5 linked regions of the Rattus norvegicus genome follow. The protein of the gene in region 1 interacts with the protein of each later gene in a pairwise test. Links are inferred from orthologs where the notes say so. Each region holds a gene or a part of one and is shown in the gene's direction. Other genes may lie near its edges.

Evidence for each region.
Region 2: the proteins of Prr13 (region 1) and Zcchc10 interact in binary tests that used the Homo sapiens proteins (3 or more experiments, as listed by UniProt). The two-hybrid records come from large-scale screens. The link is inferred for Rattus norvegicus from reciprocal best matches to the Homo sapiens genes PRR13 and ZCCHC10.
Region 3: the proteins of Prr13 (region 1) and Lgals3 interact in binary tests that used the Homo sapiens proteins (3 or more experiments, as listed by UniProt). The two-hybrid records come from large-scale screens. The link is inferred for Rattus norvegicus from reciprocal best matches to the Homo sapiens genes PRR13 and LGALS3.
Region 4: the proteins of Prr13 (region 1) and Srek1ip1 interact in binary tests that used the Homo sapiens proteins (3 or more experiments, as listed by UniProt). The link is inferred for Rattus norvegicus from reciprocal best matches to the Homo sapiens genes PRR13 and SREK1IP1.
Region 5: the proteins of Prr13 (region 1) and Klhl12 interact in binary tests that used the Homo sapiens proteins (3 or more experiments, as listed by UniProt). The two-hybrid records come from large-scale screens. The link is inferred for Rattus norvegicus from reciprocal best matches to the Homo sapiens genes PRR13 and KLHL12.

What each region holds. Positions count from the first base shown.
Region 1 is NC_086025.1:135,468,821-135,475,132, forward strand, and holds Prr13 (proline-rich protein 13), read left to right. Parts: upstream 1-2,219; 5' UTR 2,220-2,284; intron 2,285-2,918; 5' UTR 2,919-2,938; coding exon 2,939-2,957; intron 2,958-3,297; coding exon 3,298-3,647; intron 3,648-5,203; coding exon 5,204-5,254; 3' UTR 5,255-5,524; downstream 5,525-6,312. UniProt on the Homo sapiens protein: Negatively regulates TSP1 expression at the level of transcription. This down-regulation was shown to reduce taxane-induced apoptosis.
Region 2 is NC_086028.1:37,969,260-37,975,660, forward strand, and holds the start of Zcchc10 (zinc finger CCHC domain-containing protein 10), read left to right. Parts: upstream 1-2,199; 5' UTR 2,200-2,209; coding exon 2,210-2,238; intron 2,239-6,234; coding exon 6,235-6,393; intron 6,394-6,401.
Region 3 is NC_086033.1:23,102,387-23,108,126, forward strand, and holds part of Lgals3 (galectin-3), read left to right. Parts: intron 1-3,448; 5' UTR 3,449-3,452; coding exon 3,453-3,470; intron 3,471-3,928; coding exon 3,929-4,288; intron 4,289-5,256; coding exon 5,257-5,345; intron 5,346-5,740. UniProt on the Homo sapiens protein: Galactose-specific lectin which binds IgE. May mediate with the alpha-3, beta-1 integrin the stimulation by CSPG4 of endothelial cells migration.
Region 4 is NC_086020.1:37,707,009-37,713,262, forward strand, and holds the start of Srek1ip1 (protein SREK1IP1), read left to right. Parts: upstream 1-2,728; 5' UTR 2,729-2,893; coding exon 2,894-2,906; intron 2,907-6,254. Other genes in the region: spliceosome-associated protein CWC27 homolog, read right to left, coding at 2,229-2,270. UniProt on the Homo sapiens protein: Possible splicing regulator involved in the control of cellular survival.
Region 5 is NC_086031.1:48,480,722-48,485,747, forward strand, and holds the end of Klhl12 (kelch-like protein 12), read left to right. Parts: coding exon 1-153; intron 154-962; coding exon 963-1,121; intron 1,122-1,408; coding exon 1,409-1,507; intron 1,508-2,985; coding exon 2,986-3,172; intron 3,173-3,377; coding exon 3,378-3,504; 3' UTR 3,505-3,614; downstream 3,615-5,026. UniProt on the Homo sapiens protein: Substrate-specific adapter of a BCR (BTB-CUL3-RBX1) E3 ubiquitin ligase complex that acts as a negative regulator of Wnt signaling pathway and ER-Golgi transport.

The sequences.
Region 1 (6,312 bases):
AGATTTCTGTGTATTCTGGTAGTCCAGGTTGGCCCCAACTTGAAATCCTCCTGTCTCTCAGGTGTGTGAGCATTAGAGGACAGTTTTCAGGGAACTGTTCTCTCCTATCTTGTGGGTCCTGGGATTTCACTGAGGTTGTCTGTGGCAGTCTGCTGGGCTGCCACCATCCTCTTCCTTTTGTGGTTTGTGGGGGTGTTTTGTTTTGTTTTGTTTTTGAGACAGGGTTTCTCTGTGTAGATCTGGCTATCCTGGAACTTGCTCTGTAGACCAGGCTGACCTCAAACTCACAGAGCTCTGCCTGTACCACTACCACCTAGCTACCTGCTGGGCCATCTTGCTTTCAGGAGAAACTTTACACTCTAGTTCTGCTCAGCTGGCTTGTGTTTTCCATGACAGTCCTTCTGCCCCCTATCCACAGGAGGGAACTAAAAGATTGCAGAAGTTCAGAATGTGTGTGAGGTGGCACAGCTTTTAAGTAACAGATGAAAGGGTTTTTACCATTAGATGTTGATGGGGGCTAGAGTGATGGCTTAGCAGTTAAGAGCAACCATTGCATTTCCAGAAGACCTAGATTTACTTTCCAGTACCCACAAGACAGCTCGTAACTATTTATAATTCCAGTCTCAGGGGAATCTGGTGCCCTCTTCTGACTCCTGAGGGTGCTGCATGCGCATGGTGCACAGGACATACACGTAGCCAAAACCCCCATAACACATAAGATAAAATATTTTAAAAGATATTTATGGGTTGGGCATATAGCTACATTGCAGACTCTTGGCTTCGCATGTTTTGAACTCCACCTGTTAGAACTAGATGTGCTGAAGCACGAGTTTGTAATCTTTACCTTAAAAAAAAAAAAAACTCTTTTGAGAGTTGTGGCTTGCTCTTGTTATTCTTGCACGGGAGAGAGGCAGATAAGGGATGACTGCCTTCCCTCCAAGGTCAACCTGAGTCATACAGGAAGACTCTGTCTCAAAACAACAAAACCAAAAGTGAAGTTATTCACCCGGAACAATGGCATGAGACTATAACCACGGCATCTGTTGGACACATTGAGACCCCCTCTCTTACCTATCTTTCTACAAAAGAGAACCACGGGGCTGGAGAGATGGCTCAGTGGTTAAGAGCACTGACTGCTCTTCCAGAGGTCCTGAGTTCAGATCCCAGCAACCACATGGTGGCTCACAACCATCTGTAATGAGAACTGATGCCCTCTTCTGGTGTGTCTGAAAACAGCTACAGTGTACTCATATATAATAAATAAATAAATCTTTAAAAAAAAAAAAAGAGAACCACGGGCTGTGGTTATAGAAGCTGGCAGCATTGAGACCTGGGGCTAGGACTTAGCAGCACTTCCTCCTTTTGTTCTCTGAGGTCTTGTTTTTTTGTTGTTTTTGTTTTTGGAAACAGAGGGTTCCTCTGTGTGGCTCTGGCTGTCCTGGAACTCACTATGTCGACCAGGTTGTCCTCAAACCCAGAGATTCACCTGCCTCAGCTCCTGAGTGCAGGGGTTAAAGACATATGCCACCAGCACAGGGCTCTCTGAGGTCTTATATCGGGTTGGCTGGCCTCAAATTCCCTAAGAAGCTAACATTGCCCTTGAATTCTGATTCTCCTCCTCCACTTCCCAAGTGCTAGGTTACAGACAAGGCTACCTTAAAACAAACAAACAAAACACCTAATGTACTCACTGACCTGTAACCGCAACGCAATGATAGGGACTGGAGAGATGTCTCAACAGTTAAAAAGCGTTTGCTTCTCATGCGAAGTGTTTGAGTTCAGTCCCCAGCATCCACATGGCTGCTCATCAGCAACTCTGACTCCAGGGGCTTTGAAGACCTCCGCTGTCATTCAGCAGGCACTTGGTGCACATACATTGGGGCAAATCACTCATACTCATTTAAAAAAAAAATCTTAAAATTTAAACGAACAAAAGAAACTGAGAGTTTATCTCGTTGGCTCGGGGTCTCTGCTTGGAGCTAGCCCTGCCCCGCTCCCGCCCTAAGGAGCACTTCCGCTGTGTCTGTTATTTCACCAGTTATGTATTTCACAACGCAAGGCTTTTTTTTCCAAAAGGCTCCGCCCGGCGTCTAGCGCAAACGTTTCCTCCTTGTTTGGACCACAGCGATTGACAAGTCAGTTCTCCAATCATCATGCCGAGTGACCACATAATTATCTAGGTCACCGGGGCGGTGCGGAAGCATAGAATGAATAGGGGTGACCAGGAAGTGTGTGATCCCAGACTGGGAAGGAGGACGGGAAGAGGACCAGCGATCTTGGGAAGGTGACAGGGCATCTGGCCTCCCAAATTCCCTTCTTTCCTCTTAGCTGGGCCAGGGATCCATTTATACCTGAGAACTAGGAACTCCCTTTGCCCTTTCTTTGGGGTGTGTGTGTTTTGTCCTTATCTTAGCGTTTTGGGTTCCTTTTTTTTTTTTTTTTTTTTTTTTCTCCACTGGGGCGAGCAGGGAGTTTAGGGTTTAGGTCCTATCTCTCACACTACGGATGCTTAAGGCCTCCGGTCCCTTTCTAGGGAGAGGGAAATGAGACGCCTACATCCAGGTGAGATAGTGAAAGTGGGAGGGGCCCCAGGAAGAGAGTTTCTGTGGTTTAGACCCTGCGCTAATGTAGGCTAGGAGGGCGCTGGAGAGAGGAAGGAAACTTTTTTTCTGTTTTGTTTTGGTTTTCAACACAGGGTAGCTCTGGCTGTCCTGTAACTCTCTTTAGACCAGGCTGGTCTCTAACTCAGAGATCCACTTGCCTCTGCCTCCAGAGTGCTGCCCATTTTAAAGTGGAGGTTGCGGTAGTTTTATCAGTGAGAGCCTTCGTAAGGCGGAGGCTGTAGGGTGGGGCTCGGGCTCTAGAAAATCCGCTTCCCTTCCTGGGAGCTTCAGATTTTTGTCTGTTTTACTTCGTAGGATTGAACTAACTTGTGGACATGTGGAATCCTAGTGCTGGTAAGTAACTGGGGGGCTCTCCTCTGACCCCGCCCCAGCCCATTTTGCAACGAAACGGGATTTTTCTGTATCCTGCAACCCCCAGCAAAAACAAAGTCACGGGACCACTGCTAGCTACCGAGTTCTGCCTTTCCGTAGGGCTTAAGAATGGTGGTGACTGGGTTGGGGATTTAGCTCAGTGGTAGAGCGCTTGCCTAGGAAGCGCAAGGCCCTGGGTTCGGTCCCCAGCTCCGAAAAAAAGAACAAAAAAAAAAAAAAAAAAAAGAATGGTGGTGACTTGTGTTACTCGTTGATAGAGGTTTGCACCGTTCTAATCTTTATTCTCCAATTCTTCCTCTAGGGCCAAATCCATATCCACCCCAAGTTGTGTGTCCAGGAGGTTCCAATCCTGCCTGCCCACCATCCCAAAATCCTGCCTTTCCTCCTGGCCCCTGTCCTCCCGGAATTCCTCAGGGAAACCCAGCTTTCCCTCCGTGTCGACCTCCTTATCCTGTACCGCAACCAGGGTGTCCAGGATACCAACCCTCAGGTCCCTACCCTCCCCCGTACCCACCAGCTGCTCCTGGCATGTGCCCCGTGAATCCTCCGGCTCCTGGCATGGTAGGCCCAGGAATAGTGATAGACAAGAAGACTAGGAAGAAAATGAAGAAAGCTCACAAGAAATCACACAAGCATCATAAGCACGGGAAGGTCAGTGTCCTCTGGAGCCTGGCTGGGGAAGGAGCTCCCTTCAGAGGGACCGGGGTGATCAGGAGTTGGGGATGGGCATTCTCGGTTTGTGGGGCGTGGGAGGAGGACGGCAATCCTGTCCTTTTGGCAGGTGGTTTTCCTTTACGTAAAGAGATCCTCCTTTAAGGAGTTTAGTAATATTGAGGCATTCGACCACTCCCATCTGCAAAGGAAAAGTGAAGTGGGGGCGGATATCAGAGCCAAAAGCCCTCTCCCTTCTCTCCCTCTATCCCTGTAACTCCCCGCCTTGACCCACCCTAGGTGTATCTTTTGGTAAGTTGGACACACCCATTAAGGTTGTCTAAATGTCAAAAGAGTTCTTTGACAAAGTGCAATGACGCATAATAGTTTGCGGGGTGGCGGTCTGACCCTAGTTCCTGGATTTCCTTTATCTCCTTCGGCGTTCTCAGGTGCTGAGTTAATTCCCTGGGTGGGTCTTCTGTGACTCAGCAGCCTTCTGCAAAGCCTGGGGTGAAAGGGCATTTTCCTTCACAAGACCTGTATCCCTTCCTTCCACAGGGACGCTAATTATTGTTAGTGAGGGAAGGAGTTTCCCTGAGGACTTGGGAAAAGCATCAGTCTAATCTTGAAGCTTTAGTTAGATTTTTATGCCAAATGTTTGCTTGTGGGTCTGGACTCTAGTTCCTGATTCTGGGTCTTAGGTAGAGATGTGGGGAGTGGGGAAGGAAAGGAGACACTGAATGAGGGAGAGAACCCTGAGAGCCTAAACTTTTTTTTTCTAAGATTTATTTATTTATTTCATGTATGTGAGTACACTGTGGCTATCTTCAGACACACCAGAAGAGGGCATCGGATCTGCATTACTGATGGTTGTGAGCCACCATGTGGCTGCTGGGATTTGAACTCAGGACCTCTGGAAGAGAGTAGTCAGTGCTCTTAACCGCTGAGCCGTCTCTCCAGCCCCAACACGAAACTCTTAAGGGCTAGGATTCTGGTAGCAGGTGTTTTTTTTACAGTAGCTGACGGAGGTATGTCTGTGTGGGGTTTCTCCAGCCATCTGTCTGTCTCTGCCATCTTCCCCACTTTTTCCCCTAGTGGGACTTGGAGGAAGTACAGCATCACACACACACACACACACACACACACACACACACACACACACACACACACACGGTGGCTGGCTGTTCCTACCCTCTCTGAGGTGCAGAGAGTCTCGTTTGTCATTCTTTAAGCTAATGAGTAGGGACTTACAAAGTTGCAGCTGCTTCCCGCATCCATGCTGTGTTTGTTCTTCATTCCTGGCCCTGGCTAGGTGTGGAAAGTATAAACTTGGTCAGAAGGCAATGTGTTCAGTTCTGTGCAATGACTGAGGACAATTTAATCCATTCTTGTATGTTCACTGCTGAAGGAAACCCTTGATTTTGTTGGTTATGGGACAGGACGGTATGAGACTCCTGACTACTGGATACTTGGGTGGATGGGTGGGGCACCAAAGAATGGACCTTGGAGTGACCAGAGGCCATCTGGATCTGATGATGTGTCCTTTCCCCTTGCAGCACTCCTCCTCCTCTTCCTCCTCCTCCTCCTCCAGCAGTGACTCTGACTGAACACAGGGCCTGGAGCCTCCTCCCCTCAAGCCTCACCAGCTCCAGTCTCCCACCAAGCTTCACCTGTCATCTTGTACTGAGGGGAAATTAGCGCCCCGCCCCACTCCTTCCTGTGCCTTCTCCCCGCTGTTGGGGAAGATGACTGCCGAGGGGTAGCAAAAGCTACCTTCTCCCTGCTTGATATTACCGTAGCTTATGAGGTGGGGGGGGGCACTGTCTTTTAAGATATGCACCATGTGATTTTTCTTTTGTAACTTGGGTTTGTGACAATTTGTGATGAGAAACCTGTACTTTTGTAATGGCGACACACGAGAGCGATTTGGTAGCAACCGTATTCCCGGCCTTACTGATCACAGTAACTGTTGAGCCACTGGGAAGTGCAGTCCCTTTCTTTACTTGATGAGCTCTTTTGGAACCCAATTTCTTCCTCAGTTCAGTATGTTGTCTCAGATGGCTCTGAGGACCAAATAAACGCTACTCTCCCAGCTTCTGCTCACCATTACCTTAACTGGGCTCAACACCATGGCCTAGTTTCGTTGCTCTTGGTCATACACCTTAAAGTATGTCACTTTTTTTATTCCTCTGAGAGTCTCACATCACCTAGACTTCAATATGTGTGTGAGTGTGTGTGTGTGTGTGTGTGTGTGTGTGTGTGTGTGTGTGACTTTGATACAGTGACTCTGATATACAGATCCTCATGTCTCCACTTTTGAAGAGCTAGGATCACAAGCTTCAGCCACCACACGCTGTTTATGGGCTTGAACTCAGACCTGTGCCTGCTAGTCAGGGACTTTACCAATGGAGCTACATGCCCAGCCTGAAGGGCCGTCATGTTTAGTAAGGAGTCAGTGTATCAGCGAGGAGGACATCAGGCTATTCTAAGAGGGGAGGAGCCTTCAGAATGGACTCAGGTTTTTACAGACTGAATCCACACTGCTCTCCCAGATATAGATAGTTTCATTTGCTACAGGGGTTTTTCTTCAAGACGGGGTCTTGGTATGCAGCCTTGGTTAGCCTGAACTCAATAGGTAGATGAGGGTAGCTTCCAACTCACAGAT
Region 2 (6,401 bases), on another chromosome or scaffold:
ATTAGACTAGTCTGAGCTAAGTTTCTGGCCAGCCTGGAAAATTAAAGATGTTATCTTCTTTCTGGCTGAGCGCTGCCAACATGGTGTTCAGGCGTTTCATGGAGGTTGGCCAGGTGGCCTACGTTTCCTTTAGGCCCCATTCTGGAAAGCTCATTGCAGGTGTAGAGGTTATTGATCAGGACAGGGCTTTAGTGGATGGACCCTGCACTCAGGTGAGGAGACAGGCCATCCCTTTCAAATGCACGCAGCTCACTGATTTCACCCTCAAGTTCCCACACAGTGCCCACCAGATGTATGTACAAAAAGCTTGGGAGAAACTTTTCTCCCATCTTCCATATCAATGCGAAATGGGCAGCCACAAGATGTACCAAGAAAATTGATGCCAGAGAATTTCCATTCCAAGCCAAGGTGACAGATTTTGATCGGTTCAAAGTCATGAAGGAAAGAAAATGAGGAACGGAATAATCAAGAAGGAAGTAAAGAAACTCCAAAGAGCTGCTATCCCGAAAGCGTCTCCCAAAAAAAGCAGCTGTCGCTAAGGCTGCCACTGAGGTGCAGTGGCAGCAGCTGCTGAAAGTAAGGTCCCAGCCAAGAAGGCAAACAGGAGCAGGCAAGAAAGCGGAAGCCCAGAAGGCTGCTCTGGAGAAGGCTGCAGGTCAGAAGACCCCAACCCAGAAATCACCTGCTCCGAAGGCAGCTGGCAAGAAAGTATGAGGCTACACAAAGAATAAAGGTTCTTTTTGTCTGAAAAAAGATGTTATCTTTAAAAATAAAAAAAAAAAAAAGAAATAGGGGGCAGAGAGCTGGGTCAGTGGTTAAGAGCACACGTTGCTCCTGAAGAGGATGTGGGTTCAGTTCTCTGCACACCATCCACAATTCTGGTTGCAGGTAACCTACTGCCCTGGTCTGACCCCCTCAGCACCAGCCATGCGCATATGACGCACAAGCACATTCGTACACGCAGACAACACATCCATACACATCTAAAAGAGAGAGAGAGAGATCTAATAATACTAACAGTGAGGCCAATACTGGTCCCATCAGAGCTGTGAATGTATCTTTTATTCACCAGATGTAATTGTCATCTCAGAGGTTTGCTACTGAATAAACCCATCCTTTCTAGTTCTTTCTGAACTCTGGCTGGTTGGTTCAGCCTAAACTCTCTGAGCTGACGCATTAACCTGCTTCTCTCAGCTTCTGACAGAATTGCTCTACTTGGCCTCAAACTGACTCTGGCAATCTGTTCTAATCTTCTGGTCCCTCTCTCTCTCTGACTCATTCTGTCTTCAGACTGAAACCTGTCTCTGTAAAACTGTCCTGGTAAAACTGCTCGCTCCCTCTCTGTCTCTGTCTCTCTGTCTCTCCATCTCTCCCGCTCATCTTGTCTCCGTCTCTGTTTCCCTCTCCCTACCCCTCCTGCTCTCAAGCCACTGATTCAACCAAACTGACTAGAACTCAGAGATCTGCATGCCTCTGTCTCCTGAGTGCTGGGATTAAAGGCATGTGCTGCCACACCTGGTTCTAAATTTCTTTACCTGGAACTTGCTCTGTACCATGCTGGCCTGGAACACGTGTCTGTATTCCGGCCAGTTATGATCCCTTTCCAGAACAGTCATATTGCTGGATTAAAAACTCCTCTACACAGATCTTTCACAGAAGGGAAAAACAAAACAAAACAAACCAGCGTGATCCAGTCATCAAGTTGACACCTGTAATTTCTTGTGGCTTTTGGTGTTTTGCTTTTTAAGACGGAGTTTCTGCGTGCAGCCTTAGTTTTCCTGGAACTTGCCGTGTAGGCGAGGCTGGCCGTAAATCCCAGCAAGTGTTGGAATTAAAGATACGGGCCATTATTGCCTGGCTTTTTTGTTTTGTTTTTGAGCTAGGGCCTTATATGTTTTTCCACGTTGGCCTTGAACACGTAGCAATCCTCTTGCCTCAGTCTCCAAAATGCTTACAGGATTTTTGATACTACAAAATCCTACTCTATATAGATCCCTCGTTTGCGATCACCCTTCGAGGCCGTATTCATACTCAACACAAGACCCGCATTAAAGACAACAAACCAGCTAGAGGCCACCAGTCGCCTCTACTGGGATGAGCTCCTCTGGCCCCGACCAGAACCTCAGAGGTTGTTAAGGGCCCGCCCACCCGTCTGAGTTTCCCAAAAACCCGTGCGGCAGACTCCGGCCGCTTCAAGATGGCGACTCCCATGCATCGGCTTATAGCTCGGCGGCAAGCGTGAGTAAGACGCGTAGTGGGGTCTGCGGGAGGGCTGGGGGCGTCCAGACACCGGTCGGTAGCCAGTGCCGTTGCGGGACTGAGCGGGTTCTGAAGGGAGTCCGAAATGAATCCAAGAGCTGGTCGCTGGGTGGTTTGTGTCCCTCTGTCCGTTCCACACGTCAAGGGTAGCCTGGATGCACGGTCCTACATCTTCCCTTTCAAGGATCCAAACTTTTCCCTCTGCTGCGTTTCCCGCCTCCTTCTTATCGCCTTTCCTAGAAACAAACCTAACTTAAATGCCTATTCATTTCCCATCTACCGTCTCACTTTCTGCGGTCTTCTCAGTAATTACTTTAGTACTAGCATTCCTTGACAGTTTCAGTGTGAAGAAAATGTATTCAAGACACGCAGCTTACAGTTTTGTTGTGGAACCTGTTGGTACTCTAAACAAGTACAGCTAGTGGATTAAATAGCTTTGTTGAAGCACCACGATGGTGATGCTTCCAGCAGTCAAGAGGCAGAGACAAGTGGATTTCTGAATTCGGAGCCAGCCTGGTCTACAGAGTGAGTTCCAAGACAGCCAGGGGTACATAGAAAAGCCCTGTCTCTCGAAAAACAAAACAAAATTAAGCTTTATAGGAAGTAAGAGGTTGTAATGGGGAAAGGGAAAGGCCCGTTTCAAGTTAGTTGGGTTAGAAACGCATCTGCGGAGGGGTGACATTTGAAGAAGACAGACTAAAAGCCATAGGAAGGACAGAGTCACCTGAGGATTTGGGGAAAGATAGACAGTGGTATAATTGCTTTGAGTCTGTTAGAATTTAGGGGTAAGTGGGGGGAGATTTAGGGACAGGGTTTCTCTTTGTAGCCCTAGCTGTCCTGGAATATCTGTAGACCAGGCTGACCTCAAACTCAAGATAGGTGCCTGCCTTCTGTGTGCTGGGATTAAAGGCATGTGCCACCATGCCCAGCTTAAATAAATATTTTTACCTTTTTTTTTGAATCTCAGTAACTATCAGTCCTGGTGGCAGATGCCTTTAAATCCCAGAGCTAGGGAAGCAAAAGCAGGTGGAATACTGTGAGTCAAAGCCAGCCTGGTCTACATAGCAAAACTTCAGGTTAGCCACGACTGTATAGGAAGACTTTGTCTCCAAAAAGAAAAAACAAAGTAACTCAGTAGCTACCCATTCAGTGGTGTAAGCGACTTAAGGGGCCGAGACTGGGTAATTGAACGTGAATTTGAGTCCAGCCTGGAAGACTTCATCTTAAAACTAAACCCTCCAGTTACACCCACTCTGTATGGCCCTGTGAGGTGGCATGTTGTGTTTCTGAAACCTATCAAAAGTCATACGAAACTGAAAGGAAAACACTGTTTATGGCTCTAGTACCTGCATGCTTTGAACTTTCTTGCTCCTGACCTAAGCTATGATTTATTAATTAAAAACCTGAATATTGGGCCAGATATTGGTGGATTACGTTTTTAAGCCCAGCACTCAGGAGGCAGAAGCAGGTGGAACTGTGAATTCAAGGCCATCCAGGTCGACAACAGAGACCGTGTCTTAAAAACAAAAACAAGGAGTGTTTTCCACTTAAAGGTCATGAGTCGGGCTGGAGAGGTGGCTCAGTGGTTAAGAGCACTGACTGCTCTTCCAGAGGTCCTGAGTTCAATTCCCAGCAACCACACGGTGGCTCACAACCATCTGTAATGGGATCTGATGCCCTCTTCTGAAGTGTCTGAAGAGAACTACAGTGTACTAATATATAAATAAAATAAATAAATCTTTAAAAAAAAAAGTCATGAGTCTTTCCTTGTTTCATATTGCTTCTCCTTTTGGTTTTTCAAGACAGGGTTTCTCCAGGCTGACCTCATAGAGATCCTCCTGCCTCAGCCTCCTGAGTGGTAGGATTAAAGGCCTACACTTGTATTGCTTTTCTTTCTTTCTTTCTTTTTTTTTCTTCCTTTCTTTAAGATTTATTTAATCACTTTATTCACACACACCAGAAGAAGGCAACAGATCCTGTTACAGATGGTTGTGAGTCACCATGTGATTGCTGGGAATTGAACTCAGGACCTCTGGGAGAGCAGTCAGTGCTCTTAACCGCTGAGCCATCTCACCAGGCCTGTATTGCTTTTCTTAACAGGTTTATCTTCATCTTTGCTAAATATTTTTCTTAGATTTAGTATACAGTTCCATTGTGTATTTTTGGTTTCTGGCTGGTCATCCATCATATTCCCTGTCCCATCCGTTTTGTTTACCACAGATCTCCATTTCACTCTGTTCTCAGTCCTGCCTCACCCCTCAGGATCCTGGGATTACAGGAGTGCACTGTGTCTAGCTTTAAAATAGCTTAACTTTCTTCTTTATATAATATTTCCAAAGGCTGAACCGAGGAGTAACGTACGCCAAGCAAAAGTTTCACCACAAAGCCCGACAATCCCTCTCTATGTGCCAGTCTTTAGAAACATTTTTTTTTTTCTTTTTTTCGGAGCTGGGGACCAAACCCAGGGCCTTGCGTTTGCTAGGCAAGCGCTCTACCACTGAGCTAAATCCCCAACCCCTAGAAACATTTTTTAAAAGCTATTTTATGTGTGTGAGTGCTTTGGCTGCTTGTCATCTCTACAGCATGTGTGTCCCTGGTGCCCTCGGAAGTCAAAAGAGGGTGTCAGACCCCTTGGAACTGGAGGGAGAGATGGTTATAAGTCGCCGGATGGAATCTGGGAACCAAACCATTTATCCTTTGCAGTAGCAGCAAGTGCTTAACTGTTAAACCGTTTCTCCAACTCTAAATATGCTTGGTTTTGGACTGTAGCCTGTTATGTGACAGGTCTAAAATTTCCCCTTTGTGGTGCTTTGGTGCTCCAAAAAATGTGACCTGTATTGCAGAAGGGTCTTACTCATAAAATTTATTAATAGATAAAGTTTGGGTTTTTCTGTTTGTTTGTTTGTTTGTTTGTTTGTTTGGAAGCTCAAGGACTATTTTATTAAAGTACAAGGTGGTTGTAGTGGCTCACACTTTTAATCCTAGTATCGTGTGGCAAGTGCCTTAACCCACTGAGTTATCGCACTGCCACCATTTTTCATGAGTAAGTAAAAAAGTGATAGCAGAGGCAGATCTATGAGTTCAAGGCCAGCCTGGTCTACAGCTGCAGAATCAACCAAACAAATAACCTTTTTTATTTGCGCGTGTATAGGAGTAGAGGACAACTTGTTGGGGTCAGTTCTCCTCCTTCCACTACACAGACCTAGGGATGCAGCTCAGGTCTTTGGGCTTACAGCAAACACCTGAGCTATTTCCCAGCCTTAAAGGTGTTTTAACAGGTTAGAGGTCTGCCTTAGTAGTAGACAATTCAGGAAGGAGGCTCTGAGTTTAATATCTAGCATTTTGCAAAGAAAATAAAAATCTTTATTATCCTTTATATTCTGAGCTAAAAATGTTGGTCCAAATACATCATTGCTGGGATGGGAAAACTTAGAATTTTTGTTGTTTGTTTTGCTTTGCTGAAACACGGGGTCGCTCTGCAGCTCAGGCTGACTTTGAACTCAGAGCCATCCTCCTACTTCGGCATGAAAGTGAGGAGTATAAGCATGATATTCGGTGCTGGGCTTAGAAGAGCAAGACTCGGGCCAGGGTTGGGGATTTAGCTCAGTGGTTAGAGCGCTTGCCTAGGAAGCGCAAGGCCCTGGGTTCGGTCCCCAGCTCCGGAAAAAAAAAAAAGAACCAAAAAAAAAAAAAAAAGAAGAGCAAGTCTCGGGGTTGGGGATTTAGCTCAGTGGTAGAGCGTTTGCCTAGCAAGCGCAAGGCCCTGGGTTCAGTCCCCAGCTCCAAAAAAAAAAAAGAAAGAAAAGAAGAGCAAGACTCAGCTCCTTCTGTTGAACCCCAAGCTGCATGCATTGGTCACTTAAGTAGCTTTGCAGACTACGGTAAACATTGCTTGATACTTTCTGCTCTTTTAGGTCAGACAGTGCCCCAAGACAAAACTTCCAAGGTTTGTTGTGTTCTCTTTTTTCTTTGTAGTGAAGCCAATAAGCAACACGTAAGATGTCAGAAATGCTTGGAATTTGGACATTGGACTTATGAATGCAAAGGGAAAAGAAAGTACCTACATAGGCCTTCGAGAACAGCAGAGCTGAAGAAAGCTTTAAAAGAAAAAGAAAATAGATTACTGCAGCAAAGGTAGGTTT
Region 3 (5,740 bases), on another chromosome or scaffold:
ACTTCAATTTAAAAAAAATCTATATTTGAGAAGTAAATACTGTAAAGAAAATTCTAACTAAAAACAATGAATACTTTTTTTTTTGGAAAAATGCAGTGTATTGGTTAAAATGTGGTTTTTCTTAACAATGTGGCTGTGTGCAAAAGCATTCTATACCCAGCAGCCCGTGTATTGACTCACTGAGTGAATGACTCACGAGTCACTGAGTGAATGACTCACGAGTCAGTGTCTGCCCAGAGCTCCTTTTTATTTTAAATCTGTTTACTATTTCAGTCGTGTCGCTCTGGGTGAACCAACAAGCTGAATTTTCAGGGATGTAACTAAAAAGTTCCAAGGATTCTATTTTAAAATATCAAAAATGTACAGTTTTAAACAAATATAGGTCAGACTTGAGTTAGGGTCAGGAAACTTGGGCTCTTGTCCCCAGGATGCCAATGCTTTGGGCCACTGAATGAGCTCTCGGATTCCTCACTTCACAGTGGGAATATTTTCTCTCCAGCCAGCGTTACCAGATTGCTAACAAAAGAACAGCTCAGTGAAAGTTCTCTGGGAACTGAAAATCACAGTGCAGGGAGGGCGTCGTTACCCTGACATCATCCAAAGGCCCACGTGAGTCACAGTGAAATCTGCTGCCTTTGGGATTTCATTTGGTCAGATTGGAAGATGGAGCCAGCCAGCCTTGATCAGAGGCTTTGCACAGTATCTCTTAGCGTTTCTAGATGTATCACTCTTTAAACAGAATTTGACTGGTGTTCTGTTAATAGAGCACCTTTTGAGGAGAATGGGAAAGTTCGATTGTTTGTTTGTTTTCCCATGTAGGCTCTTTTGAGTGACATATTATTTAACAGTGATTTGACCCTTCAGACCTAAGAGTTTAACTTGTAAATCTTCAAGTCTCTTAAAATTGAAGCAGGGGTTGGGGATTTAGCTCAGTGGTAGAGCGCTTGCCTAGGAAGCACAAGGCCCTGGGTTCGGTCCCCAGCTCCGAAAAAAAGAATCAAAACAAAACAAAACAAAACAAAACAAAACTGAAGCATATTGGTCCTCAGCTCCAAGAAAAAAACAAACAAACAAACAAACAAAAAACAAACTAAAACTGAAGCGTACTTAAGAGGGGAAAAGGGTTTCTTTATGGGGAAGTGCTCGTTGGTTAGTTTTTAGAGACAGTCTTGCTCTGTGGCCTAGGTTAACGGTAAAGTCAATCCTCCTGCCTCAGCCTAAGATAGAGGTGTGTGGCACCATGCCCAGCAGAGGATTGCTCTTGTTTGTCTGCTTGTGCAGCTTAGACAGGCTCCACATTTCTGCTCCTCTTACCTCAGCCCCCCCTAGACTTGAGGTGGCAGGTGGTGACCATCCTCCCTGGTAACCTTCGCTACTTTAAAATTCCTTGTTGGTTTTTATGGCCCCTTGTATGTAAGTTTATCTAGGGATAGACACTGACAGCCTGAATTGGTAGTCTTCAATTCAACCAGAGGTGATTTTTGGCCTTAGAGATTTTTCCCACCTTTGAAAACATTTTGGGTTGTCACAAGTTACAGGGCAGTGTGCCACCGGCATCTAACGGCTTGAAGCCAGAGATATTGCTGAAGGGGTGGGGAAAGGTTTAATCAGAAGTGCTAAGTTCTCTGTCCACTTTGAGCTTCAAAACCACTTCCTAACAGGATCTCACAATGTAGCGTTGGCTGGTCCGGAACTCGCTCTGTAAACCAGACTGGCCTCAAACTCACAGAAATCTGCCTGCCTCTGCCTTCTGGGTGCTGTGTACCACTATGCCCAGCCTAGGCTTTATTTTCTTAAGAAAAAATCTGAAGCCAGGAACTGCGGGTCCTGCCTTTGATGCCAGTCCCTGGGAGGCTGAGGAAGGGGGGTTGCTGTAAGTGATCAAGGCTGGAATGAGACCCTGGAGCTTGGTATGTGGTCCAGGCTGACCTCAAACTCTCAGGCTACAGAATGCTGCGCTCACAGGCATGATGGACACGGTGCTCACCTAATCATGTTATTTCTCGGGATAACTGAGTAAACTATCACAGATGGGCAAAATGAAGTCAGAAGAGAGTCTGATTATGTATTAGGTTCAGGTGATTCTCTTTCTTTTTTTTTTTTTTTCCCCCTTTTTTTCCCGGAGCTGGGGACCGAACCCAGGGCCTTGTGCTTGCTAGGCAAGCGCTCTACCACTGAGCTAAATCCCCAACCCCATGTTCAGGTGATTCTCATGGCAGCAAGATGGCTGCAGTCGTTCTGAGCTCTGATCGATCTCATTCCCGTCCAAAGCTGCCCTCCCTGTGGCTGCTTGCATTGTTTCGTGCCTTAGTGCTAGCCTTTGCCAAATATGCCAATTGCTGTTAATTTAATCGCCAGCGCCCTAAGAAAGGAACGTTTCCAAACCACAGCTGCTCTCTGCTGCATTCTGAGGGAATCTGCTGAAAAGGGGGGCAGGTTTCATGCATCCTGTGGTTTGATAGGTGTGGCACAGGAGCAAGAGCTGGAGGAAACAGGGTACGTCTGCAAACCAGCCCCGTGACCAATCCGTGTAAGGCAAACCTGTTTGGCAGTATCTTGAAGGCAGCTGCCTCAGGCCGCCTGACTGGCCTTTGCTTGGCTGTTTTACTGCTGTTTTATTTGTTGTTGGAAACAAACAAACAAACAACAGCAAAAACCCACAGGCACCACAGCCAACACTTGAGGTGCTGAGGCAGGAGGATCCTAAGTTCAAAGTCAGGATGAACTACATAGAAAGACCTTAATACTTACAATACTTCGAAATCCAACCAAACACTCCCAAATGCCGCCTGTCCACCACCAACGCCCTTCCCAGCTCACAAGTGAGTTCTCAGGTTTGAATGTCCCAGCAGCACCGACCACACTCTGGTGTGCATGCGTCTCATATCTCTCACTGGCCTGGGGGCCCTGGGGGCCCTGGGATGGTGTGGAAAGCGATGGCTCAGAGCAGGCGTCAGGGTGCACCAAGCGAGGGTAACTAACCAGGCAGCAGCCATATCAGCTGTCTTAGAGATCTCGGTAGGAACCGACAGATGGATTTCCTCCAATCTGTGGCTGGGAAGAGAGGAGGGAGGGTTGTACTTCCCATGTATCCTTGCAAGGGTAGAAAAACTCAGGGAAGCAGGGAGCCAAGAGAATTTACCGTCTTTCACCGAGAGGAGAGACAGGAAATTCTCAACCTACCCCTTAGCCCTCAAGGCCTTTTACTCTCAGAGCACAAGCTCCTGGCGTCAAGGTCTGACTTCAGAACCTGAGTGGGTTTGGAATTTAGCTAGACTGTATCCCGCCTGTCCGCAAGATGTTTTTATGATCCAGCGCCATTGATCTAGGTGAAATGATTGTAGACTGACCAGAATTGCCCATGAACTATTTATGTTTAATCTCGTGAGATTTTGTAAAATGTTTTAGGCTCAAGTACTAATAACCCCCTTTGGCTTTTCTCTCTTAGGAAAATGGCAGACGGCTTCTCAGTAAGTATTTCATGTGTGTTCTCTTAGCCGAGCTTTCCCTTTGACCCTCCTACTGTGAAACTCCCTCTGGCTCTCGTGTGCATTCAGGCCTGTTAGCAGCAGGCTTGCTTTCCCAGCAGCAGATTACAGGGAGAGGTGTGGCCTGCACAGCGGAGATGTCCCTCCTGGAAGCAGCGAGACGGTGACTTGGTGCGCTCATGCCAACACCTGCAGCTGTCTCTCGTGTTGACTAGAAAGCGTGTGTTTATAGCCAGCCAGTTCCTGGTGTAAACCAGAAGAGCTTAACCCACCCCGACCCACGAAGATGAGAGACCAGAATAAAATACAACACAAAACAGCAGAAAAGGCGAGGGAAGAATATGAATCTTTTTCCTGTACTCTCAGCTTCTTAGATCACAAGTGCCTGGAGTCCCGTGGTGAAGGAGTCCCATCCTCTAATTGTTTGTCTTTCTTTACAGCTTAATGATGCCTTAGCTGGCTCTGGAAACCCAAACCCTCAAGGATGGCCTGGTGCATGGGGGAACCAGCCTGGGGCAGGAGGCTACCCAGGGGCCTCCTATCCTGGGGCCTACCCAGGACAGGCTCCTCCAGGGGGTTATCCTGGACAGGCTCCTCCTAGTGCCTATCCGGGCCCAACTGGCCCTAGTGCTTATCCTGGCCCAACTGCCCCTGGAGCTTATCCTGGCCCAACTGCCCCCGGAGCCTTCCCAGGGCAACCTGGGGGACCTGGAGCCTACCCCAGTGCTCCTGGGGCCTACCCCAGTGCTCCTGGGGCCTATCCTGCTACTGGCCCCTTTGGTGCCCCGACTGGACCACTGGTAAGGAGGAAGTTGTTTCATGGGCTTGCTGTACCAGTGGGGAGGACATTAGAGGGAATTTAAGCCTGCTGCTTAGCCATGTCTTAAGAGTCAATGGCAGGGGTGTAATCAGTCAAGTAGGAAAAGGAATGTGTTCATATTGAGTTGATTCTGTAACTTGTTATGATAAGGCATTGGGTGGCTTACACCTATAACTCCAGTAAACACTGAGAGCTTTTCAAGACTGCAAAACTTTAGCTCAAACCAGGGATGCAAGGAGGGAAATGATGGGGTAGAGGTGACTCCTCCACCTCGTACCCATGCAAGCAGGCTTTCCAGTCACCCAGTCTAGTCACCCGGGGGGTGGGGAGGAGCAACTGCGGGACGCATATGCAAGGCCTAGTGCAGACCAAGGCTAGAGATGGACGTTTGGGAGACAGCAGAACCTAGGAGGAAATGTCGTAGTGGAGAGACCAGAGGCAGGGACAGAGCTCCGGGGAAGTCCACCAGCCCGTAAGCACTTTGCCTAACACTTGTGGAATGAACTGTAGAAGAGCTCATGCGTAAAGCATTCTGCTGGTGACCTGGGAGCACAGAAGTCCCAGGTGACACAAACCTTTCCTCAGGGGGCAGAATTACAGTTCTGTATGTCATGTCAAGGGGACCCAGGGACCTATGCACGAAGATTGTCGGTCAACAGTCTCGCTTAAAACGCTGCAAAAATGATTCCATGCAGATGAATTATGGGTGGAAACGGCCCCAGGGACGGTTCAGGAACACTTGTTCCCTAATTTGTTAATTTCTCAATTAACTTTCATGCTCACGGGGAACGCTATCTCCCATCTCTTTAGGCCCTGGACAGGGTGGCCTCAGAAGCCACACAGTGTTCTATGTTTGTCACATGCATTGTAACAATGTTTGCAACGTACTCTTACATTCCCCAAGAAAACACAACGCTTTGCTGACCCTGGGATTCTTGTCTATCCCAGACAGTGCCCTACGATATGCCCTTGCCTGGAGGAGTCATGCCTCGCATGCTGATCACAATCATAGGCACAGTGAAGCCCAACGCAAACAGGTACAAGGGTGACCCCATCGATCAGACTGTTTGAATCGTTTTGAAATAAAAACAGTCTTAATTAAGATTTTGGAAACTACACGTTAGAATCCAAGCTGGGCTATCACATAGACTGTCTCAGAGTAGTACTTGATTCTATGTGATTTTTCTGTCAGGTTGTTCAGAGTAAATGGTAACATCCTTTTGGTGTGTGTCCTATGCTCTGATCTTTATAAGTGAGTGCAGGGTGGTGGCCAGTTGTGGTGGTTTGTATACGCTTGGCCCAGAGAGTAGCACTATTAGGAGCTGTGGCCTTGTTGGAGGAAGTGTGTCACTGTGGAAGAAGGCTTTGAGACAGCTTCCCCCTAGCAGCCTTTAGAACAAGAGGTGAACCTCTCAGGTCCTCCAGCGCCATG
Region 4 (6,254 bases), on another chromosome or scaffold:
CTGACATAGGCAGCATCACACAACAAAAAGACACTGCCTTAAACTAAGTGGAAGATGAGGGCCATCATCTAAAGTTATACTCTGAACCTTCTAATGTATGCAGTGGGACAACCATGAAACTGAAAGACCCCCAAACTTGGGGAGACCCTCGCTCCAGTCATGGGTTGAGGTGCCCCCAAGAAACGCGAGTAGCCGGTCTTGATGTAACAGCAAGAGGTAGCGTTTATTAACGAGATCCCAGACCGACACTTATCTCACACAGGAGACAGAGGAATCGGCCCCGAGCCTCTTCAGGCAGGGGTTTATATAGGAGAAGCCAGGGGGTTTCGCATGGTTATCAGCAAGGGAAATGGGTACAAGGTCTCATCTGCAAGCAGTACGTGCGGGCTGGGGTGTTCTCAATATAGGAGAACGTCTTATCTTTATCTGTAGAGCAGGGAGTCATACGTCCGGATGGCCCCCTTCCTGGAACAATCCCTTGACCTTGTTTTTAGGCTTGGCCGGGCACATCTCAGGCCAGCTCTGTCCTGTCCCCTTATCTGCTGTTCTTTTGCAGTTTTTATGAAGTTTTTATTTTAACTCTTCAAAACAAGACACACACACACACACACACACACACACACACACACACACACACACACACACACCTCATGTATATATACACAATTTAAAAATATTTGTTGAAGGAATGAGCTCCTGTTCAGAAATGCTTTTACTCTATGAATGTGTCAAATCATTTCCTACAGTAAACAACCAGTTCCAGCATAGCTAAAGACTCATATGAAACCCTCTTTTATTTCTTAAAAGTGTCAAACAACTAAGTCTGGGCATGATTCACCCTTACTTATGCTCAATACCTCTCAGAAGCTAAAGAAAACATAGTATTAATTCATCTGCCTAGCTATTCTTTCATAGTGCATGAACTCCACAGTGTATGTGAAGCAATGTTCTAGGTCAGTGGCTCTCAATTCCTAATTCTGTGACCTTTTAATACAATCCCTCATGTTGTAATGACCCTCAATCATAAAATTATTTCCATTGCTATCTCATAACTGTAATATTGCTGCTGTTATAAATCCTAACATGAATATCTGATATGTCGGATGTCGGATATTCAACCCCTGTAAAAGGGTTATTTGACCAAAGTGGTCACAAACCACAGGTAGAGAATCACTGTTTCTAGATGTTTATCTTCACTGATAGTGTTTGCATTCTATATAGGAAAGAAACAAAAGTAATATACTATTAAATACTTGGAAATTGTTGAGACCCAGGGCATCACTGAGATTTGCTATTTTATAGGCCTCTTTGTTAAGAGTGACGTTTGAACAGATAAAATAGCATACTAGAGAAATGAACAGCAAAAGTTAAGGTCCTGCATTGGGGAATAAATGGTCAGTCTATTTTATCTCTACGAGCATTTATTAGTTAAAATTAATATTGTCCTCTAGAAATATAGCTCGGTATGAAACCTATCAGGGAATCGATTCCCATTCCTACCCAGTAATATTCCTCACTCCCCCGCTGCCTCTGACAATTATCTCAAAAGATATGTCCTCCAAGATGTTTTCCCCATCATTTCCTGTTTTTCACTCCGCCTTACTATCATGGCAATATAATCTTCTTCAATTCTTCCCAACCAAAGGCAGGTGTGTCGATGCACGCCTGTAATTTTGAAATAGGGAATTAGCAGCTAGCCATATATATATATGTGTGTGTATATATATATACATATATATGTATATATGTATATATGTATATATGTGTATATATATGTATGTATATATATATATGTATATATATATATTTGTGTGTGTGTGTGGGTGGGGGTGTGTGTGTGTAGCACACCAACCTTGCTTTGTATCATCAGCACCTAGTAGAGTGCGTTGTGCCAAGGAGGCCTTCAATAAATGATGGTAGAGAATGCGCGACCTCCAAGTTAAACAACTAAAAAAATGAACAATCTTAACGTAAGTCTTAAAAACAACAGACACTAGAAGGCGCTCACGTGAGTTGGATCAAGGAAGTTAAGGGGTCAGAAGACTAGCGAATAGAGAAGTTGCTCAATAACTCTCAAAAATACGCTGAGACATGTCACTGTAAATAGTATAAATGCAACAGTGGCCATAAGCATGATGTGGAGGGCAGTCCTTTTGGTCTTTCAACTCCCTTGCCACCCCCAATCAGGTTGCTCTTAATTAGGATGTCCAGGTGGTAGAGGCTCTCACCTTCCCATTCGTGGGCGGCTCCTGGATGTAGATGTTACTCATCTTGCTCACTGCTCAAGACTCCGTTCCTTAGTGTGGCCGCGAGCGAATGGCGGGTCTCTGACGATGCCCACCTGTTAGTAGACAATTCTTTACCTGGGTACTTGGGGAAAACTTTACTCGGTCAGAGTTAGACAGGACAACCGTACTAAGCACTAGCTACTCCCCCAAACTATCCCCTCATGGACGTCGCCATGTTGCTCCCGGATCGCAGCACCGCTAACTCCGGGAGGGGGGATGTCCCTGTTCTTCAGGAAACTAGAAAAGACTATAAGACCTCTGCAACTTTAGAGAATTTGTCGTGTCATTCATAATACTAGCTAAACGGCCAATCCGTAAATCCGGGTGCTGCGTCCAGGTCCGGTGTTTGCAGATAGCACTCACCTCCGGAAGCTGGCCGAAATGGTTCAGACCACGTGTGCTCCGCGGTAGGACACCCCTGGAAACTGGGTCCGCAGCTTCTTAGTTCCGCCAACCCTGGATGTGCATCCGGCCTTCTCCTGCCCTGTGAAGTTGTAGTGACCGGGTGGGAGAGATCCCTCTGCTAGTGCGTTGTCCTCGCTAAGGACCTGAACGAAACGCGATCTCGAAAGCTCAGGACTCCGGTGACCCCACTCACCTGCATTATGGCAGTCCCAGGTGAAGATCAACCGCAGGGCTCTCTCACTCCAGAGGAATGAGGCGAGCAGGGGAGTCCAGGACCGGGGGTGGCAGGGAGCACTTGGGGATTCAGGCGAAGGCCTGAAAATTTAGAATCGGTTGATTTACATGAAAAAGTTTACACTACAAGTTCAAAGAGGGCTGGGAAAGATCATCTCTGTCATTCTTGTGCAAGCCCAAACTGCACAGGATTACAGGGAAAGTGTATTGTAAGAGGGACAAGAGAGTTGGTGACAATGAGAACTGTAGGCCTAAGGGGACAAGTTGCCCGTAAGACTGTAACTTTCACTGAATTTCAAAATAAAATTCGAAGTGTGAACTTTTGGCGAATCCAGGTGGTACATTGTAGTGAAAGTCATCCAGTCAAGAAGTGCACCTGGGGCTTGTCCTAGCTCTTCCAGCCTTTAGTTACAGTGTAGCTGTAGGCCGGTTTCTGTGCCCTTCTGGGGCCTCAGTTTCCCTCTTAGTTTCAAGAAGGCGCTTCCTTGAATTGTATCAAAGATTCTTTTGTAGGTTCCACTTTGGTGTTCAGAGGTTTCTAACCTAGACACGGCACACTGGGCTCCGGGGATGTTTTTGTTTGCTGCTCCAGTTTACTGGGGAGCCTCAAGAACTTCCCCAAGCCGGCCTTGTCAGAATGTGTTTCTGCAAAAACCCTAATATCGGGCAGGTGTTTTTAAGAGATATACCCACCTTACATCTCCAAGATTCACAATGCATAGTACTGTAGGAAAGGCCCTGAAAATATTTATGAAGCCCCAACTTTGCTTAAAAAACTACCTCTTCCCGCTACTGTTTGACCCCTGGTTTTGTTCTGTGGCAGCCTTTTCTGAACTTTATTCTAGAGCCAGCGGTTGCAGGGTGGGGGTGGGGCTGCTTTCCTAATTTCTGCACTTTGCAAAGGAGCACACCTGGAACTGTGAGAAGAGAGATGACTGTATGTTCTTTATTATGTGTGTGGTGGCGAGCATGATAGACGACACCCTTGCTCTCTTAGGACTCAACAGGGAACAGGAGGAATTTGCAGAAAGTGGAACTAATGGTGCGGCAAGCAAAAACAGTTAGGACACCTAACAGGATTCAGAGAGGACAAACCACGGATGTTCCAGATGAGAGCTAAAGAAATATGAGAGGGGTTGGGGATTTAGCTCAGTGGTAGAATGCTTGTCTAGCAAGCGCAAGGCCCTGGGTTTAGTCCTCAGCTCCTGGGATGGGGGCGGGGGGGGGGGGTGACAAAAAAAAATGTGAGAGGGCAGGGAACCTGCAGGGAAAGGGAGCAGATATAGAAAGGAAGAGAAAATAGAAGAGCTAACCATCAGCTAACCTGAGAGAAATGAGAAATTAACTAAAAAGATAATTCAAAGTATCTTAACTTTTACTATGTAACCCACATACCTGATACTATGTCAAACATTGTATTTTTTTCCTTTAATAACCACTACTGTGAGATAGCTGATGCTATTCTCACTTCACAGAGGGAGAAACCAAGAGCTAATGTAGGTTATCCAAGCTCTTCCCCACTATGCATACAAATGCGTTCTCCAAGGTATCCATGGCACAATAGATTTCCTGTGACAGAAGGACCTTACAAGCAAAAACAAAGTGTTAGGATGTTAGTAGACAGCAGGCAACCACTTAACAGATTTAAGAAAAATTACATGTTTAGAATTCAGTAACCTGGAGGAGAGTTAGTTACCTTAGAGAACTGTTGGTGCTTAAGGGTGTTTCTGCTGGATTATGTTACCATTGAGGAAGTGGTCCCATTAAGAGAAGCAGCTAACTTGTAGGTGTGTTGGTAGTGGTAGAATCATTAAGAATTGATTGCTTTGATGAGGTGGAAATGGTGGAACCTGGTTCTTGACATTAGCTCATTGAGAAGGCTCCATAACTGGGCAGACATCCCTCAAGATCAGGGATGAGAGACAGCAATGAGGTCAGCCTGGAGCTTGTGTTAAGGTGGATCTGACACAGGAATGGAAGTGGCCAATAGACAGCATGGGAGTAAACAGATACTAGGCAAAAAGTCAGAATCAAAACAACACTTATTATAGCAATAAAGGGATAGTACATGAGGAACTGTATGGACACAGTGGGTGATGTGTGAAGACGTGACTAGAGTCTAGGAATAAGAGCATTTAAGGGGATAGCAGAGAAAAATGAGCCTGCACAGTACTTGTCTAGGCACTTTGAGAGACTCCGGTGACCTCTGCATCACCCAACTGCACCCAGAGTTGGCCTGCTATCACTGTTCATTATTCGAGCAGGTGCTCTGAGCACCCATGTGCTATGAGCACCCCAGGAGGCACACCGTAAAACTTTAGGAATGAGAATGTGCTCCTTAAGGAAAGGGACAAAATGGACTTTTCTTCCAGCTTTGTTTGAGACGCTCTTAAACTTGAAACCAGTGTTAAAAAAAAAAAAATGTTAACCTTTCAATTCAAAATAATGTTGCAAAGCATAATAATAATTTGTGTCATTAAGCTAGATGGAACGACTTACATAAACTGCTTAAACCCACCAAAAAAAAATCAAGATAATAGGCTTGACAGGTGGCTCAAATGCACAATGCCACTGCTTTAGAAAATGCAGACATAGAAGGTGTTAAGGTAATTTCTTGGATGATCGATCCAGACGCCGCATGGAAGGGAAATGGGGCTCCATTGAGGTGATCATCAAGAAGGACAAGTATTGTGTCATGCTCTTTTATTTTAGGTGTGATGGATCCAGCTTGGGGTGACTCACGCCTGGTTATTATAAGGTATAACTATAGAGTAATGAGGCTGCTTTTCACAAACCACCGGCCTTGTCTGCTTCAGCGGTCACGTGCTTCCACCTCCGTTCCCTCAGTATTGTATGCCAGCTTAAACCATTATGTAGGTAACAATGAGATGCTAAAGACTGTAGAAAAAAACTTAGACACTTAGTTATTTGACAAACGGCATTGAGCATAGGGTTCGGTGAGGTTTACTTTCTTTGCAACATTTCTTTGCTTCTAACAGTTGTTCAGTTTAGCTCAGCTGTTGAACTCGTGTCAGTAAGTCACCATTCTCCGTCAAGAGTTGACCTGGCCCAAGTGGCCATGTGTGTTACTGAGCAGGATGGAGCAAAAACTGACCTTTTTCCGTCTCTCAGTGAAGTCCGTGTAGCCAGGGACGAGGATGACAGTAGCTAAGTCATAACAGAAGAAGGAAGTCATACCATAGCCAATTTTCCTCATTCCTCAGCCTTACTATAGGTAACTTCTTTTCTCTCTCACATGGCTGCTGGAACAATGTTCACGAATCAGGTCTGATTCTATCATTCCTGAGGGGCAGACAGCAATCTGTG
Region 5 (5,026 bases), on another chromosome or scaffold:
ATGATCGGATCTATGTGATTGGTGGCTATGATGGCCGTTCCCGCCTCAGTTCAGTGGAGTGTCTAGACTACACAGCAGATGAAGACGGAGTGTGGTACTCTGTGGCCCCTATGAATGTGCGGCGAGGCCTTGCTGGAGCCACCACACTGGGAGGTAGTTGATGATAAATGCTGCTTCATTTAGCTCCTCTACTTTGATGGGAGCATGACCGATGTCTGAGCTCAATTGTGCTGTACGGTCATGGGCACTGGTCATAGTTTATAAATTCCATGTGGACAGTCGTCAGTGCCTTTAAGTATTTCTTTTTGTAGTTCATTTTGTTTTGTCTTTCAAGACAGGGTTTCTCTATATAGCCATGGTTGCCCTTAAATTCCCTTTGTAGGCCAGGCTGACCTTGAACTCGGATCCACCTCCCCCTGCCTCCAGAGTGCTGACATTTAAAGTATGCACCACCACCCGGATCTCTTAAGAATTTTTATTTTCTTGAGATGGAGTTCAGTAAATTTCCCTGTGTAGCTTGTCTGAAACTCGGGTGTACATAAAGGCATGAATGAGCTTTAAATGCTTGTTTGTACTGCCTTTCTTCTTCCGAGACTTGAGTGACTTATCATCTAAGGGGAAAATGCTCAGAGTACAAAATATACTTTTACACACACACTACCATATACAGTTAATATACACAGTGGGAAATTTAAGAACAATAATAAAAATCAACTTGAAGAAAGAATAAGAATTTGTTTGCTTGAGACAAGTTCTCAAATAGCTCAGGCTGGCATTGAATTTGTCTCTGGTCACAGTGGCCTTGAACTCCTGAAGCTCCTCCTGAATCTCCTGAGTGAGGTAATTACACTCATGTGTGCATCTCCTCCTCGCATCTTAACAGTCAGTGATTTGTAGAGAAAAAAGTCCTAGAAGTTTTTCCTTCTTAATTTAACAGTCTATAATTTGTTCACTCTGAGCAGATATGATTTACGTTTCTGGAGGCTTTGATGGAAGCAGGCGTCATACAAGTATGGAGCGGTATGACCCAAACATTGACCAGTGGAGTATGCTGGGAGATATGCAGACAGCTCGAGAGGGCGCGGGACTAGTGGTGGCCAGCGGCATAATCTACTGTCTAGGTATGAGCCTGGGGTGGGGCTGGGCCAGCTTAGTGGACTCCAGAGGGCATCACTTTTACCAAAATTATGTGTATATACTCACATCAAACAAAAACTCTGATTTATCTCAATGTATTGTCCATGAATAGGATTATATTTTTCTTGTAAGCAATGTGCAGGATGTTGCATATTCTCCGACCTGGAAAAAATAGAACTGAATCAATTGAATTTTTCACAGGCCAACTAAAATTAAAATGAGCCTGAGAATCTACATTTCTTTTTGGAATGTTCTCCATTTTGTCTTTCAGGAGGATATGATGGCTTGAATATATTAAATTCAGTTGAGAAATATGATCCCCATACAGGACACTGGACTAATGTTACGCCTATGGCCACCAAGCGTTCTGGTAAGACCAAGTCAAATCTATGATGTGACAGAAGTGCTGTCAGTCTCGGGATGTGTACAATGACAGTGTAGTTCTGGGTGTGGTATCAGTGGGATAGAACTGGAGTTTGTACTTCACCCTAGACTCAACGTAAACTGGAGTCACAGTCCGGCCTCCTTCACCTCCGCCTTCCCTACAATATGATGAAGGCAGTATGAACTTTGAGGCAGATTGTACATTTGAGGGCAGTGATTTCTTTTTTTTTTTTTTTTTGGTTCTTTTTTTTGGAGCTGGGGACCGAACCCAGGGCCTTGCGCTTCCTAGGTAAGCGCTCTACCACTGAGCTAAATCCCCAGCCCCTGATTTCTTATTCGTCAGTACTTTCCTCCTGTTGTAGTTCTGACCACCTAACCTAATTTTTTTTTTTTTTCGGAGCTGATGACTGAACCCAGGGCCTTGTGCTTCCTAGGCAAGCGCTCTACCACTGAGCTAAATCCCCAACCCCACCTAACCTAATTTATCTGTGTAGTACATATTAAGTAAGTGTTTTTGTCCTGTTGAGGTCTGTGTATTCTTCTTTTACTCTTTGAACTTTGATGTTTGGCTTTTTTAAAGACAGAATTTCCCTATGTAGCCCTGGCTGTCCTGGAACTCACTCTGTAGACCAAGATGGCCTTGAGCTCACAGAGATCCACATACACCTGCTTCTGCCTCCTGAGTGCTGGGATTAAAGGCATCCACTGCCAACCTGGCTAGACTTTGTCTTGAGGGTCCTACCATGCAGTCCTGGTCATGTACAAGTTGCTATGAGGTGATCCTTCTGCTTCTGGCTTCAAGTTATACCACTACATTGGTTTTTTGGTTTTTTGGTTTTTTTTTAAACCTAAGATCTCACTGTATGTAGCTCACATTAACTTTAGACTCCAAGGAATCCTGGGATTGCAGACATGTGACATATACCTGATAATAAATAGCAATGAGTATTACATAAAACCTCTAGTGCCTAAAAATAATTTAAAAAAAAAATTCTGAGGACTGCTCACAGGGCCTTGCATATACTAGGCAAGTACTGTCATAGAGGTCCATCTGAATGACAGCTGAGAACTCTTAGTGGGATAGGCTGTGATGTAACAAAGAGCAGACAACGTGCTGTTCCAGCTAACTGCCTCTGACAGAGGTCACAGCAGAGCCATGGCCATCCTCCTTTGCTCCTCTCATCCTTACCAACACCTTTCCTCCTGCTTTCTGTTTAGCCAGCTGAAGAGGGAGTCTGTGAGTTAATGAAAACAAAGATGAGAACCATGTCAGTCCTCCACTAGAATTCCAGGTCCTAGCCTAAGGGTTGGCCAGTGTGCGCACTAACATTTGCTGTATTAAAGTGTTCTAAGCCTGTGTGACACGTCTGCGTCCCTCATCTCCACAACTCAGCCAGTAGTGAGTTACTGGGATCAGATGCTAGACTTACTGACCTTCATTTGCCAATGCTCTCTTTTCCCCAGGTGCTGGAGTAGCCCTACTGAATGACCATATTTATGTGGTGGGAGGGTTCGATGGTACAGCCCACCTTTCTTCTGTTGAAGCTTATAACATTCGCACGGATTCCTGGACAACTGTCACAAGTATGACCACACCACGATGCTATGTAGGGGCCACAGTGCTTCGAGGGAGACTCTATGCAATCGCAGGGTGAGGAGTTTGAAAGTGGGCCAGAGCCATGTATCCAAGGCAAGAATCCATTCAGGATGGAGGCGTAATGTGTGTTGTGGGAACAACCACTGGGGCTATTTCCATTCCCGGCCCAGTGCGGGGCGTGGACCCTTGCCCAGGTGATAGGACTTGTGTATAAATGGCTGGAGACCTCATTTCTTTCTTTTGTTTTTTCCCCTGTCAGATACGATGGGAATTCTCTGCTGAGCAGCATTGAGTGTTATGACCCTATCATCGACAGCTGGGAAGTAGTGGCCTCCATGGGAACCCAGCGTTGTGACGCTGGTGTGTGTGTTCTCCGAGAAAAGTAACTGTTATTTGGACACCAGCTGGGAACAGTTTGTGGGAGAATGAAGGATCCTTTCCAGAATGTTCACTTCTCACTGTGTGCACAGGGCGATTACAGGCACCAGTGCTGTGATGATTGTACTTATTTGACGCACATGCTCCTTCTCACTGGCCATCCTGCTCAGACGCACGGGGAACAGGTCCTCAAGGGAAGAGAATGCACACACGGATCAGAGACACAGATCATGGCTCTCTGTGGTCTGAGGAGCACTTTCTTCTGTTTGTAACTTACCATGTGCTTGGGAGAATGTGTGTGTGTGTGTGTGTGTGTGTGTGTGTGTGTGTGTGTGTATGTGTTGTGCCTCGTATATTGCAGAGAATTAAGGTGAGTATGGCCTACTAGATGTGGGCAGTGTCCATCCTGTGTGATTGGAAGGATATCAGTTTATATAAGCTTGGTAAAATGAAAGTCTTTTCTCCACTCAGAAGCAAAAATATCTTTTCTAAATACAGAGGTAGCTCGAGGCACCACAGTTCCTTTCTGTAGGAAACCAAGAGATCACTGTCAACATTTGAGAGGCCAAGAAGGAAGATTCGTGCTGTTCTCACTTAGGGAGACATAGTTGGCACAGAGATTTGAGTAAGTGGCAGGAGCTGAATGGAATGTGGGTGAACCCAGAAAATCACTGAAGTGTGAACTGGAAGGCTGGCAAGGACATATTATCTGACTCCATGGTCTTTCTAATGTAAAATGTTGCACCATCTTGGTTGGCACTGGAGACTGAGAGATTAACAGTGGAAAAGGTTAGAATAAGAAATGCTGTAAATGTGCAGAGTTCAACATACCTGTGGTAAACTAGAAATATCTGTGATTTTACAATCATCTTAGTCCCTGCCAGGGCTCCCATAGCCGTGGCAGTATTTGTCTTATGTGGGTGAAAAGACCATCTTCCTGGTGAATCAAGTGCTACCACGTTACTTCGCCTCCACACTATTTATTTGGGGATGGGTGGGGTTGCTGCAGCCTAGTAGTTCAGGTACTGATTACTGCCCTGTTGTTTTAAGGGCGCACTTCCACTGAGGAGTGTTTAATACTGCTGTGTGGTACGTTCAGTTCTCTTCCTGCTATATCTTCTGTACTTGTCATTACAGTGTATTTTATTCATCCTGGAACAAAATAATCAAGGACAATTGAAAATCTTTTGTTAGTTTCCGCACCTCTGCCAATGTTCCCGAGCTGCCATTCTGGCTCCTCTGTCATGGTGAATTCTGCAGTTACTGGTATAGCAAATAGGAGAGTGTGGGAGCCGGAACTGGGCTGCACTTGCCTTTTGCTCTGGAATCCCACTTTTCCTCTCTCCCTGAATTGTGTTTGCTGATAGAGTTAATTTCCTTTGTATTTTTTTAAGAAAACATTAAAAATGAACTGTCTCAAATGGCTTTAAGAGAATTTGTGTGTAGTGCTGTCTTCAACAGACATGTGAGGAACTTTTTTTTTTTTAGAATTATTTATTTTATGTATGTGAGTATACCACCGCTGTCTTC